3 linked regions of the Stegostoma tigrinum genome follow. The main gene of each other region encodes a partner of the protein of the gene in region 2 in a complex. Links are inferred from orthologs where the notes say so. Each region holds a gene or a part of one and is shown on either strand. Other genes may lie near its edges.

The links. Proteins that work in one complex are often made in the same cells at the same time.
Region 1: the proteins of jarid2b (region 2) and eed are in contact, whole or in part, in a cryo-EM structure (PDB 6C23), measured with the Homo sapiens proteins. The link is inferred for Stegostoma tigrinum from reciprocal best matches to the Homo sapiens genes JARID2 and EED. Residues at the interface, in NP_004964.2 of Homo sapiens: Pro109, Gln114, Arg115, Lys116, Phe117; in NP_003788.2 of Homo sapiens: Pro95, Phe97, Tyr148, Arg306, Asn307, Tyr308, Cys324, Asp362, Ile363, Trp364, Tyr365, Arg414, Asp430.
Region 3: the proteins of jarid2b (region 2) and aebp2 are in contact, whole or in part, in a cryo-EM structure (PDB 8VNZ), measured with the Homo sapiens proteins. The link is inferred for Stegostoma tigrinum from reciprocal best matches to the Homo sapiens genes JARID2 and AEBP2. Residues at the interface, in NP_004964.2 of Homo sapiens: Ser148, Lys151, Pro152, Lys153, Thr154, Glu155, Asp156, Leu158, Thr159; in NP_001107648.1 of Homo sapiens: Arg407, Ala410, Ile411, Asn414, Leu415, Glu420, Ser421.

The regions. Positions count from the first base shown.
Region 1 is NC_081359.1:53,542,587-53,546,186, forward strand, and holds the start of eed (polycomb protein eed), read right to left. Parts: upstream 2,173-3,600; 5' UTR 2,070-2,172; coding exon 1,977-2,069; intron 1-1,976. UniProt on the Homo sapiens protein: Polycomb group (PcG) protein. Component of the PRC2/EED-EZH2 complex, which methylates 'Lys-9' and 'Lys-27' of histone H3, leading to transcriptional repression of the affected target gene.
Region 2 is NC_081355.1:36,933,793-36,937,392, forward strand, and holds the start of jarid2b (protein Jumonji), read left to right. Parts: upstream 1-1,382; 5' UTR 1,383-1,503; intron 1,504-1,509; exon of another isoform or gene 1,510-1,788; 5' UTR 1,789-1,905; coding exon 1,906-1,950; intron 1,951-3,600.
Region 3 is NC_081378.1:44,628,035-44,631,634, forward strand, and holds the start of aebp2 (zinc finger protein AEBP2), read left to right. Parts: upstream 1-1,138; 5' UTR 1,139-1,167; coding exon 1,168-1,646; intron 1,647-3,600. UniProt on the Homo sapiens protein: Acts as an accessory subunit for the core Polycomb repressive complex 2 (PRC2), which mediates histone H3K27 (H3K27me3) trimethylation on chromatin leading to transcriptional repression of the affected target gene.

The sequences.
Region 1 (3,600 bases), on a different chromosome or scaffold from region 2:
CAGAGCCAGGACCCGGGTTCAATACCAGCCTTCAGCGACTGTCTAGATGGAGTTTACACATTGTCGCCGCGTCTGTGCAGGTTTCTGCTGTGTGGTCTGGTTTCCTCCCACAGTCCAAAGACAGACATGTTGTTAGGTGAATCAACCATGCTAAATTGCCCTGTAGAATCTAGGACATACAGGCTAGGTGGATTAGCCATGGTAAATACGGGCTTACTGGCATAGGGCAAGGGTAGGATGCTCTTTCGTGGGTGAGTGCAGACTCAATGGGCCAAAATGCCTCTTTCCATACCGTAAAGATTCTATGACCTTACTGAAAGCTTTCTGAAAGTCTAAGTAAACCACATAACACTGGCTCCCCGTTATCAACTCTACAAGTTACATCCTTACATAATTGCAGTAGATTTATCAAGCACAACTTCCCTTTTGTAAATCCACACTGACTGGTTTCTGAATGTTCTGCTATATCATTATAGTGGACTCTAATTAGTATTCCTGAACTATTGAAGTCATGCTGAGAGGTCTATAATTCCCCAATTTCTCGCTACCACTTTTCTTTTAAAAAAGTGTGGTTATATTAGCTACTTTCTAATCCACAGAAACTAATCCACAGTCTATGGAATTCCGAAAGATGACCAATGCATCCACTACGTCTCGGGTCACAACCTTACGAATGCTGTGATGTAGATTACTGTGGCCTAGGATTTATCAGCCTTCAATCTCTTCAATATCCCCAACACCTATTAATAGCGATTTCTGTCAATTGGTCCCTCCTCACTACACCCTGTTTTCCCCAACATTTTTTGGGGGATTATTTTGTATTCTTTGTAATCACAGAATGAAAAAGTGAGAGAGATACTAAGAACTGCAGATGCTAGAATCAGAGATTACAAAGTGTGCAGCTGGACGCACACAGCAGGCCAGGCTGCATCAGAGGAGCAGGAAAGCTAACATTTCTGAAGAAGGGTCCTAACATGAAACGTTAACATTCCTGCTCCTCTGATGCTGCCTGGCCTGCTGTGTGCATCCAGCTCCACATTGTTATCAAAAAGTGGTGTTAAATTGATCCACCATCTCTTGGTTCCCCATTATAACCTCAAGCCTGAGCTTATCGCCACACCTCTAAAAATTAAACCCTTAGGTTTCCCTTAAAAGCAAATAATATTAATTACTCTCAAGCCTTTCTGCTTTGGACATTTGCACCATTACCTTTACAAACTAAAGTCAATATATTATAAACAACGATAAAGAACAGCATAAATATTCATCCAATCAGCTACTTCTTCTTGCCCTCATGTCATTTTTAAACACTCTTCCCAGACAACAACAGAGCAGTGCTGCTGCAGGACACTCCAAATGAGTTAGAGTCAGTGATATAATCCCTCTTCCAGCTGCATTTTAGCTCCAACGAAGAATCACATTGCAATAACCAAATTCATCAACTTCCCACAGCTCAGCAAATTTCCAACTTAGTATGTAGCCATGTCAAAGCGCATGCAGCAAGAAAACCCAAGTTCAACAAGTTGGGCCAAGCTAATTCTGGTTACAATAGTTTGCAGAAACAACATGTTCATAGCAAGTAGGGGCAACTCTAGAAGCCACAACACGTTACCACTAATCAGAATGCAAGGTATATAAAAACTGAGCCTGATACTCAGAGACCTATCTAATAACAACCATTTGTTATTGGGATGTCGGTGCGTCGTCCATTCCAGCTCCCCAGAACCTATGGTGAGTCCGGGTTTAAATCCCGCCCACCCTCCCAAACACTCACCGCCACACCAGGCTAAACCCGGTCACGCTAATCAAGATTGGATGAAAGCCAACACCGTGGCTCCGACGAAAGACTGCCACTCTCCATGTTCTTCCCGCCGCATCGGAGGCTGCTCCTCATCCCTACCGAAGATGAGGATGCAGAGGGGAGCATACAAGAAAATGGTCACAGCTGCAGCGACCTTTCCGTTAACTACACTCACATTTTCATCCCCGGAAACGTCCGGGTTACTGTTCTCATCGCTCAATTTCTGTCTCTTAGTCGGCATGTCCCCTCGCGCCGCACTTTCCGACATTATCCGCAAAGCGGAGCCTGGCGTTGTCACAAAGTCACGTGCGCGCTACCGACTGTCGCAAAACAAAACCCATCCGATTACGTGAACGTCGAGGATGGCCTTTCTTGTTTTCGAATGTTATCCCGACCTTCTGGAAAAGCAATGTTATCTAAGGTTGTTTCAGTTCTGTGAGCAGCACAAAGCTCACGTGATGATGTCGGGTTCTTTGGCCTGTGATAATGGGAACTGCAGATGCTGGAGAATCCAAGATAACAAAGTGTGGAGCTGGATGAACACAGCAGGCCAAGCAGCATCTCAGGAGCACAAAAGCTGACGTTTCGGGCCGAGACCGTTCATCAGAAAAGGGGGATGGGGAGAGGGAACTGGAATAAATAGGGAGAGAGGGGGAGGCGGACCGAAAATGGAGAGAAAACAAGATAGGTAGAGTACAGGTGAAGAGGGGATAGGTCAGTCCAGGGAAGATGGACAGGTCAAGGAGGCGGGATGACGTGGTAGGTAGGAAATGGAGGTGCGGCATGGGGTGGGAGGAAGGGATGGGTGAGAGCAAGAACAGGTTAGGGAAGCAGAGACAGGCTGGGCTGGTTGTGTGATGCAGTGGGGGAAGGGGAAGAACTGGGCTGGTTTTGGGATGCAGTGGGGGAAGGGGAGATTTTGAAGCTTGTGAAGTCCACATTGATACCATTGGGCTGCAGGGTTCCCAAGTGGAATATGAGTTGCTGTACCTTCAACCTTCGGGTGGCATCATTGTGGCACTGCAGGAGGCCCATGATGGACATGTCGCCTGAGGAATGGGAAGGGGAGTTGAAATGGTTCGCGACTGGGAGGTGCAGTTGTTTGTTGCAAACCGAGCTGAGGTGTTCTGCAAAGCGGTCCCCAAGCCTCCGCTTGGTTTCCCCATTGTAGAGGAAGCCACACCGGGTGCAATGGCTACAATATACCACATTGGCAGATGTGCAGGTGAACATCTGCTTGATATGGAAGGGCATCTTGGGGCCTGGGATAGGGGTGAGGGAGGAGGTGTGGGGGCAACTGTAGCACTTCCTGCGGTTGCAGGGGAAGGTGCCGGGTGTGGTGGGGTTGGAGGGGAGTGTGGAGCGGATAAGGGAGTCGCGGAGAGAGCGGTCTCTCCGGAAGGCAGACAAGGGTGGGGATGGAAAAATAGCTTGGGTGGTGGGGTCGGATTGTAAATGGCGGAAATGTCGGAGGATGATGCGTTGTATCCAGAGGTTGGTGGGGTGGTATGTGAGAACGAGGGAGATCCTCTTGGGGCAGTTGTGGCGGGGGCGGGGTGTGAGGGATGTGTTCCGGGAAGTGTGGGAGACGCGGTCAATGGCGTTCTCGACCACAGCGCAGGGAAGGTTGCGGTCCTTGAAGAACGTGGATATCTCTGATGTGCAGGAGTGGAATGCCTCATCCTGGGAGCAGATGCGGTGGAGGCGGAGGAATTGGGAATAGGGGATGGAATTTTTGCAGGAGGGTGGGTGGGAGGAGGCGTATTCTTGGTAGCTGTGGGAGTCAGTGGGCTTGAAAT
Region 2 (3,600 bases):
TCACATTGTACCTGAGTTCAATGAAACTAATAATCATAAACTGAATGTATTTGTTTGTTGATGCAAGCAATACAATGTGAAACATTAACTTGTCCTCTCCTTTGCACATGCTGACTAACCTGCAATGGATCCTCAGTGATCTTCTGCTTCCATCAGGATGGGATAACCTAAATTTCTTGTTTTCACACTGGAATCTTGTATTTAAATCCTGTTGCACTGTTTTCTGTTTTACTCTGGTGGGAGGCAAGGTCTCCATCATCAGTGTGAAACTAGGATAGGTTGGATGCACATATGAACATTTTTACGTAATCCATACTGATGTTACAGGTAAAAACCAAAAGAACTGCGGATGCTGTAAATCAGGAAGAAAAACAGAAGTTGCTGGAAAAGCTCAGCAGGTCTGGCAGCATCTGTGAAGGAAAAACAGAGTTAATGTTTTGGTTCCGGTTCTGAGGAAGGGTCAGCAGACCCAAAACATTAACTCTTTTTTTCATTCACAGATGGTGCCAGATCTGATGAGCTTTTCCATTAACTTCTGTTGATGTTACAGGTGCCAGCTGTGGATCAGTGACAGCAGTCATTACCTCTGAGTTAGAAAATTATACTTTGAAGTCCCACTCCAGAGACTTGAGGACAAAAATCAAAACTGACAAGTCAGTGCATCACTGAGGGTGGCGAAGTCATGTTGCCATAGTCCTACCAGCCCATAGGGCTGCTCTCTCGTTACAGAGAGATGACTGGTGGTGGTTTAACTTGAGGGTCACCATGCTTCACGTGAGGGGAGAGGTTGAGAAGGATAATTCTTCTTGGTAACCTCACTATCTTTTTGACAAGAAATTAAATTGAAACCTCTGTCATATTGTACCACTACGACTGTGAGTGAGAAGTAATTCAGTGATTCAGATTTTTATTGATGGCAGTACAGCTTAAGACGACGTTCAGCAATTCATTGTTCCAGCTCTAAGGGTTAATTGCTGATTTATGCTTTGTTCCCTGTAACAGTATGTCTGAGTTTCTGGTGAATGCAAACAAAAATACAAAGTTTCATAGTACTGGTCTGATGAAGAGTAGGGGTATTTCTAAAAATATTTATCCCTCAACCGGCAAAAAAATTCTCTGATCATTCTCACATCCGTGGGACCTTGCTGGCTAGAGCTTGTTTTTGTTGCGTTTCCTGCATTACAGCAGTGACTTCACTTCAAAAGAGCACTTCATTGTTTGCAAATTGTTAAGATTGTGAAAGGCACTATGCGAATGTAATTTGTGTGTTTTGTGTTTGCACAGAGGGCACTGTGGAAGGAGAGTGAGTGAGCGTGGCATTGAAGGACACGATTCGAGAGAGAGAGAGAGAGAGGAGCACAGAGAATGACGGAGACGGTAAAAGGGAAGTCCCAGGCAATATTGCAGCTCATGAGCTCTCCGACAGGGGCTATACTGAGTGTGCGTGGCCAGGAGCGTCCTAACGTAGCCATTTAAAGTTAAAGGGATGTGATTGGTGGGAGTGTGAGTATGAGCTTGAGTTGTGTGTGTGTTTGAGACTCTCGTCTGTCTCTGCACAGAACGTGACTACATTATTTTATTCCCCTTCTCTCTCTCTTCCCCCATGTTTTTTTTTCTTATCCAAGATGTAACTTCACCATACGTAGCTTATTTTTTACTTTGTCCTCTTCGTGTTGCTCGGGAACAGTAAATGTGCCTGGTGTCGACAAGCCTTTAAGAAAAAGAGATGTTTTATTGAAGTGAATTATTTATTTTTTCCTTCTTCCCAACTTCGGATTTAATCAAAAGGAGAGCAAGCACGGAGAGGGAGCTTTGTAAATATAGACCAGCCAGGGCTTATCCACATTGACGAGATTGATTCATGTGGAATTTTCTCTTCTTCGCAAAGAAAATTGGGACAACAGGATGACCAGAGAAAGACCCAAGAGGAATATAATTCACAAAAGATTAGTAAGTGACTTTAGAAGTTTTAAAAGATCGTTTTTCCCTGAAGGAGGTCGTTAGGCTTCAACATTATGCCCTTGTTAGCGCGAGGCACTTTTTTTTGTTTATGATTTTTGGCCGGTAATGCTGTAAGGTATCCCCATTGTACGGTTCTCGTTTTATTTCCCCAGTTGTATGGACAATGATTGATTTATTTTAATAGATTATCTCTTTATGTAGCTGCTTATGGGGAAGTGTTTCGGTGACAGTCCGGCCCGTCCCTTGCCCGATCACATCTAATTATTTTAGTGATTGTTGATCAGGCCTATTTGTTGTATTTGTAAAGCTGATTCTGAGGAGGAAAGCGAAGCGAAGCGATCATGTTTCCCCAACCAATATTTGAATCGTTTGTTCGCCTGGTGATCCAGCGACGCCAGGCTCTTGCTCCTCTGCAGGATGTCTGCGCTCTCTTCGCCCCCCCCCCCGGCGCTTTTTTCTCTCTTCCCCCCCCCCGGCGCTTTTTTCTCTCTTTCCCCCCCCCCCGGCGCTTTTTTCTCCCCCCCCCCCGGCGCTTTTTTCTCCCCCCCCCCCGGCGCTTTTTTCTCTCCCCCCCCCCCCCGGGCGCTTTCTCCCCCCCCCCCATTTTGGATCTTTCTGTCGCCACCGTTTGGTTCTGCTGGAATTAATGGCAACCTGCGTTGCCTTGTTGTTGAACTCTTAATTTCCAAGCAGGTTTCTTTCTCAACATTCCTCCCCCCCCCCCAAATCTGGACTACAGTTCCACCATTTCTCACCGTAGCTCGAAGCTTCTATTCAGTTTTATTTGGGATTTTAACAGCAAGTTGTTGGGGAGGGGGGTGGAGGTTTTAGATTAGTTAGTTCCTTTTTTTATTGTTGTTTGCCACATGGTCACGCTGCAATGTTGTGGCAATGTTTCCATTCTCATTTCTGCCACCTTCTCTTCGCCCCCCCCACCACCATTAAAGAAAGGGTTACTGTCTGCAGTCGGTGGATGTGAATTATTCAGACCCTTTAGGTAATGGAGAAGTGGAGAGATTGCAGATGTTTGAAAAGCTTCATTACAATTTAGATCAGAAAGGTTTCTTTTCATTCTCTGCCATGAGTTTTTTTTTGCATTTGCGGTGACCTCTGACTCCGACAGACGGTAGTGTTTAAACAGGGAAGGTGACACGTTCCCCACACCTCGATTCCTTTAAAGATTGCAGTGACTTCGATCAGTTCCACACGCTTCACCAGATATTAATCCAACCCCCCACCCCCACCGACCCCGCTCCACACAACCCGCCAAAAAAGAAAATTATCGCTCCTTCAGTTCGGACCCTCCCTGACACTCCATTGTCCGTATGTAACTTGTCAAATTGCTGAATCGGTAAGAAAGCGACCGTCAACATGCATGTGGCATCACGGAAACAACAACAAAAACGCACACAAACTAGAATGTATTTTAAAAACACCCGACGCATTGCAGAGATGCCTTCGCTTAAGTTTATTCGGGGGGGACGAGGCAGAAAAAAGGCTAGGATTTAAAAAGCAACCTCTGCGATGTTTTTGTCTCTCTTGCACTGAACGTTGGTTAACAAGCTTTAGAACAAAAGAAAAGGGGAGGGGGTAAAAGAGCGTGGAAAGTTTTTGTTTTGCGTGTAGACCGAAGGCTGT
Region 3 (3,600 bases), on a different chromosome or scaffold from region 2:
TTATCAGGGCTAGGTGGAAATTTGGGTTTGAGGTTACCATCAGATGCACAATGACCTTGTTGAATGGCAGAGCAGGCTTGAGAGACTACATCACCTACTCTAGGTCCTTGTTGGAATGAAACATCAAATATAACAATGACCAGAATTTATTTCTTCTAATGTTAGTTGCACAGACAAGCAAGAGACCAGACCATTGGCACTGTACCTGGAAGGGATACAACACAGATATGTGCACACATAGACATATAGTGTTTAAACTTTAACTGACACACACGAAGGGAATGTTTGAAAAATTCAACAGGCCTATTAACATCTATGGAGACAGAAACAAAGTTGACATTTCCAGTCTAGTAAGATTCTTCTTCAGACAGCTTAAACTTTAGCTGTTTTCCAAACACTGCAGAGCTCTTCCCAACTTGCCGATGTTCATAGTTCTGTTTTTCTATACAGAAAAACAAAAATCAAGGACTGTGGATGCTGGAAATCAGAAACAGAAACTGAAATTTCTGGAAAGACTCAGCAGGTCTAGTACTATCTGTGGAGAGAAAACAAAGTGAACGTGAACAACCCCCAAGGCTTGGTGAATTTTGCTTCACGTTGATGGCAACAGCCGACATCGAAGGAGCAAAACGCCACTTCTGCCGCGACAAGCCAGTCAATCATCGCTGTGGTAACTTTCTGACACCTGCTGCTGAAAACCCAAGAGGTCAGAAGGGTCTGGAGGCTGTGCTTTCACGGCCTGCATTCGGACTGAAAACGATCATTAGGTTAGCTTCTGCGCCATGGGACGTTTCTGTCACTTATTAGCTCGCCTTAAGACACCTGCGCGACGGTGTGACACTCTACCTTCACTCCATAGACCTCTGAGATTTTGCAGCAATTTCTATTCGTACCCACAATTTGGATATTGCAGTTGTAGCCCACACACAGTAAACACCTCCCACCTCATCCCTGCGAATCCACGAGCGGCACAAACGGTCGACTACCGCCCCGCCCATAATCATCACGCAGGCGCGCTGTTGCCTGTTTGCCCCATCCCCACGCGCGCACTGCGCAGGCGCATAGAGTCAGATTCGCACCCACCCCGTCGCTCACGGCCCCGCCCCCTCCTACTGAGCAGGCGCGCTGGTGGCACGTGACCGTCCGGGCTGGAGCCGCGCGGGGGAAATGGCCGCAGCCGCCGCTCCGTCCCTCAGCGCCATCGCTAACGACACTCAGAGTCAGGTGGCGGTGGTGGCAGCAGGGGGGACTGGTAAGAGCTGCCGCTCGGAAGCCAAGTGCGGCGGTGTTGGTAACGCCGGCATTGGTAGTAGCCGTTCCCAGGCCGTTTTGAGGCAGCAACAGCAACAACAACTCCGGCAGCGGCGGGACGAGGAGGAGAGTGAGCCCGAGGCTGGCGGCCCGCAAGCTTCAGGCTCCCCAAGTGGACACAGGGCCACGGGGGCTTCCAACTCCGGGCCGTCCCGCAACCTTCCTCAACAGCAGCAACAAGCGGCCAAAAGCTGCACCGGGGCCCTCAGGTGCGGCCAGCAGCAACAACGGGGCCGGGAGGAGGCGGCGGCCGCTGTGGCAGCTGGTAACAGGAGGCAGAGTCTGGAGAACTCGTCAGACGGGGAACCACTGAGCCGCATGGACTCAGAGGACAGGTGAGGGAGCGGGGGTTAGGCACTCTCCGGTCTTACCCCGGGGCTCAAGCTTCTCAGACGAAGCTGCAGTGGAGACCTTTCTTCTCTTATCTACCGTCTCCCTTCCAGCCGTCGGGCGATTCAGACTCTTCCCCACCCCCTCGCTCTTGCCCTTCTGCTGTCCCGTACTCTGCTGAAAGAACCGAAATAGCTGTCCCCGATTCAAAAGCGTTCCTTTTTTTGTCTCCCCAGCTCTTGAATTCAATTGCCGAAAAGTATTCGTTCTTTCAAACTAATGCCCTTTTGTCGGAAAGGGTACTTGTAGGTTTTGTTGTTGGGGGAGAGTATAAAATAAAATAGAAAACATACTCTTAGCCCTGCTTTTTATCGGAGTTTTTGGGGTAGCGGAGGTGGTGGCGGCAGTGTTCTGTGAAATTTACACGACGCCTTCTCGGGAGTTTTGAGGTGTTCTCATCTTTGTTATGAGATGGCGCTTTCCGAGTTAAAAAAAAAACACCTGGAAAAGCCCAACTCTGTGTAACCGTAACCTCAGTTGACTTGGTCATACCGATGACTTTTAATGTCGGCCATTCAGTAAGCAAAAGATTAGTCATAGTCCAGAATAAATCATACGTGCCCTCATTGTGTTTGTTTCAAATCCCCACGCAGATGTGATTTATGCATCGGCCTTTTAAGCTACAGCTTTTGCCGTAACATCGTGTCAGGTTCGTAGAAATGCAAAGCAGTGATTACTAGCGATACGTTTGTCTTTTAATAGGGCAGATCTCGCCTTTAAAATAGTGTTTTCGCGCAGCTGACACTTTGGATCCGAGTTACTGATATTCAGCGTCGCGTTTTAAATATGAAAAGTTGACTCTGTCAGCTTCGCTCATTTGGTAAACTTGGATCTGACTCAAGGTCGTGGGCTCAAACCCCACACCAGTAATTAAGCATGTAATCTAAGGTGACACATCAGTGGGAAAGCTGTATTGTCAAAACTGATCGCATTCAGATGATGTGAATTAAGGCATAAAAGATCTGGAACTCTGAAGAGGAGTGACTTCACCCAGTTTCTAAGCAATGATCCCTCCTTCCTCTGATAACCGCATGAGCTCATAAACAAATTAAAAACTAATTTGATGAATAGTTAATCTACATATGAGCGTTTCAAATTAATCTGACCGTGAAGTACTTGGGGATGTCCTGAGAAGGTTGGTGCCGTCCAGGGGAATGTTCAGATGAATTAAACTGATTTCAAAGCTGTTGGTTGTCCTTGGAACTTGATAAAGCATTAGTATCAATTCTGTTCATAAATCGTTGTAACTTGATCCAAAGTAAGAGCAGATCATTCTTGTTACGGCACAATGTAAGTAAAACGTAATTGTAGATTGTAATTTCTGTGGTGTAGGTAAATGTACAAAGTTGTGCTTTTGCCATCTTATGAGCAAAAATTGACCATTCTGGGAGGAACTTAATGACTTCTTTCAGGCTGACAGACTGATATCATAAATTTTGAAATATATTTAAATTATTGCATTGTTATATAAGCAGATATATATTTTGTTTCCAGATCTCTCATGGTAGGAGTAATTCTTCAGATTTGTTTGCATTTTAAAGGCTGATTGCAATAAAATTAAACTGTCCAAAATTACCAGTAGTGATTAGTTTACGTTGTTGCAATCAAAAATCAAGCTACAATCGATTTAATATTAGTAAAGAAGTCAGTGAATTTATCAGGTGACAGATGACAAAATGTGTATTTAGCAGCACTGTTTATTCATGGCAATTTGTGGTATAGTTGTATGTATTTTGAAATAAATTATATTAGGTATATTTTCATGTTACTTGTTGATCTTGTACATCACGCTGCTGAATCTCTACAACTGCCTAAACAGGTAAAATGCTGTTCGAGAGAATTTTTACACCAGCATTTATGTCTTGGTTTAATTTGAATGTGACATGAGCTTTGAAATAA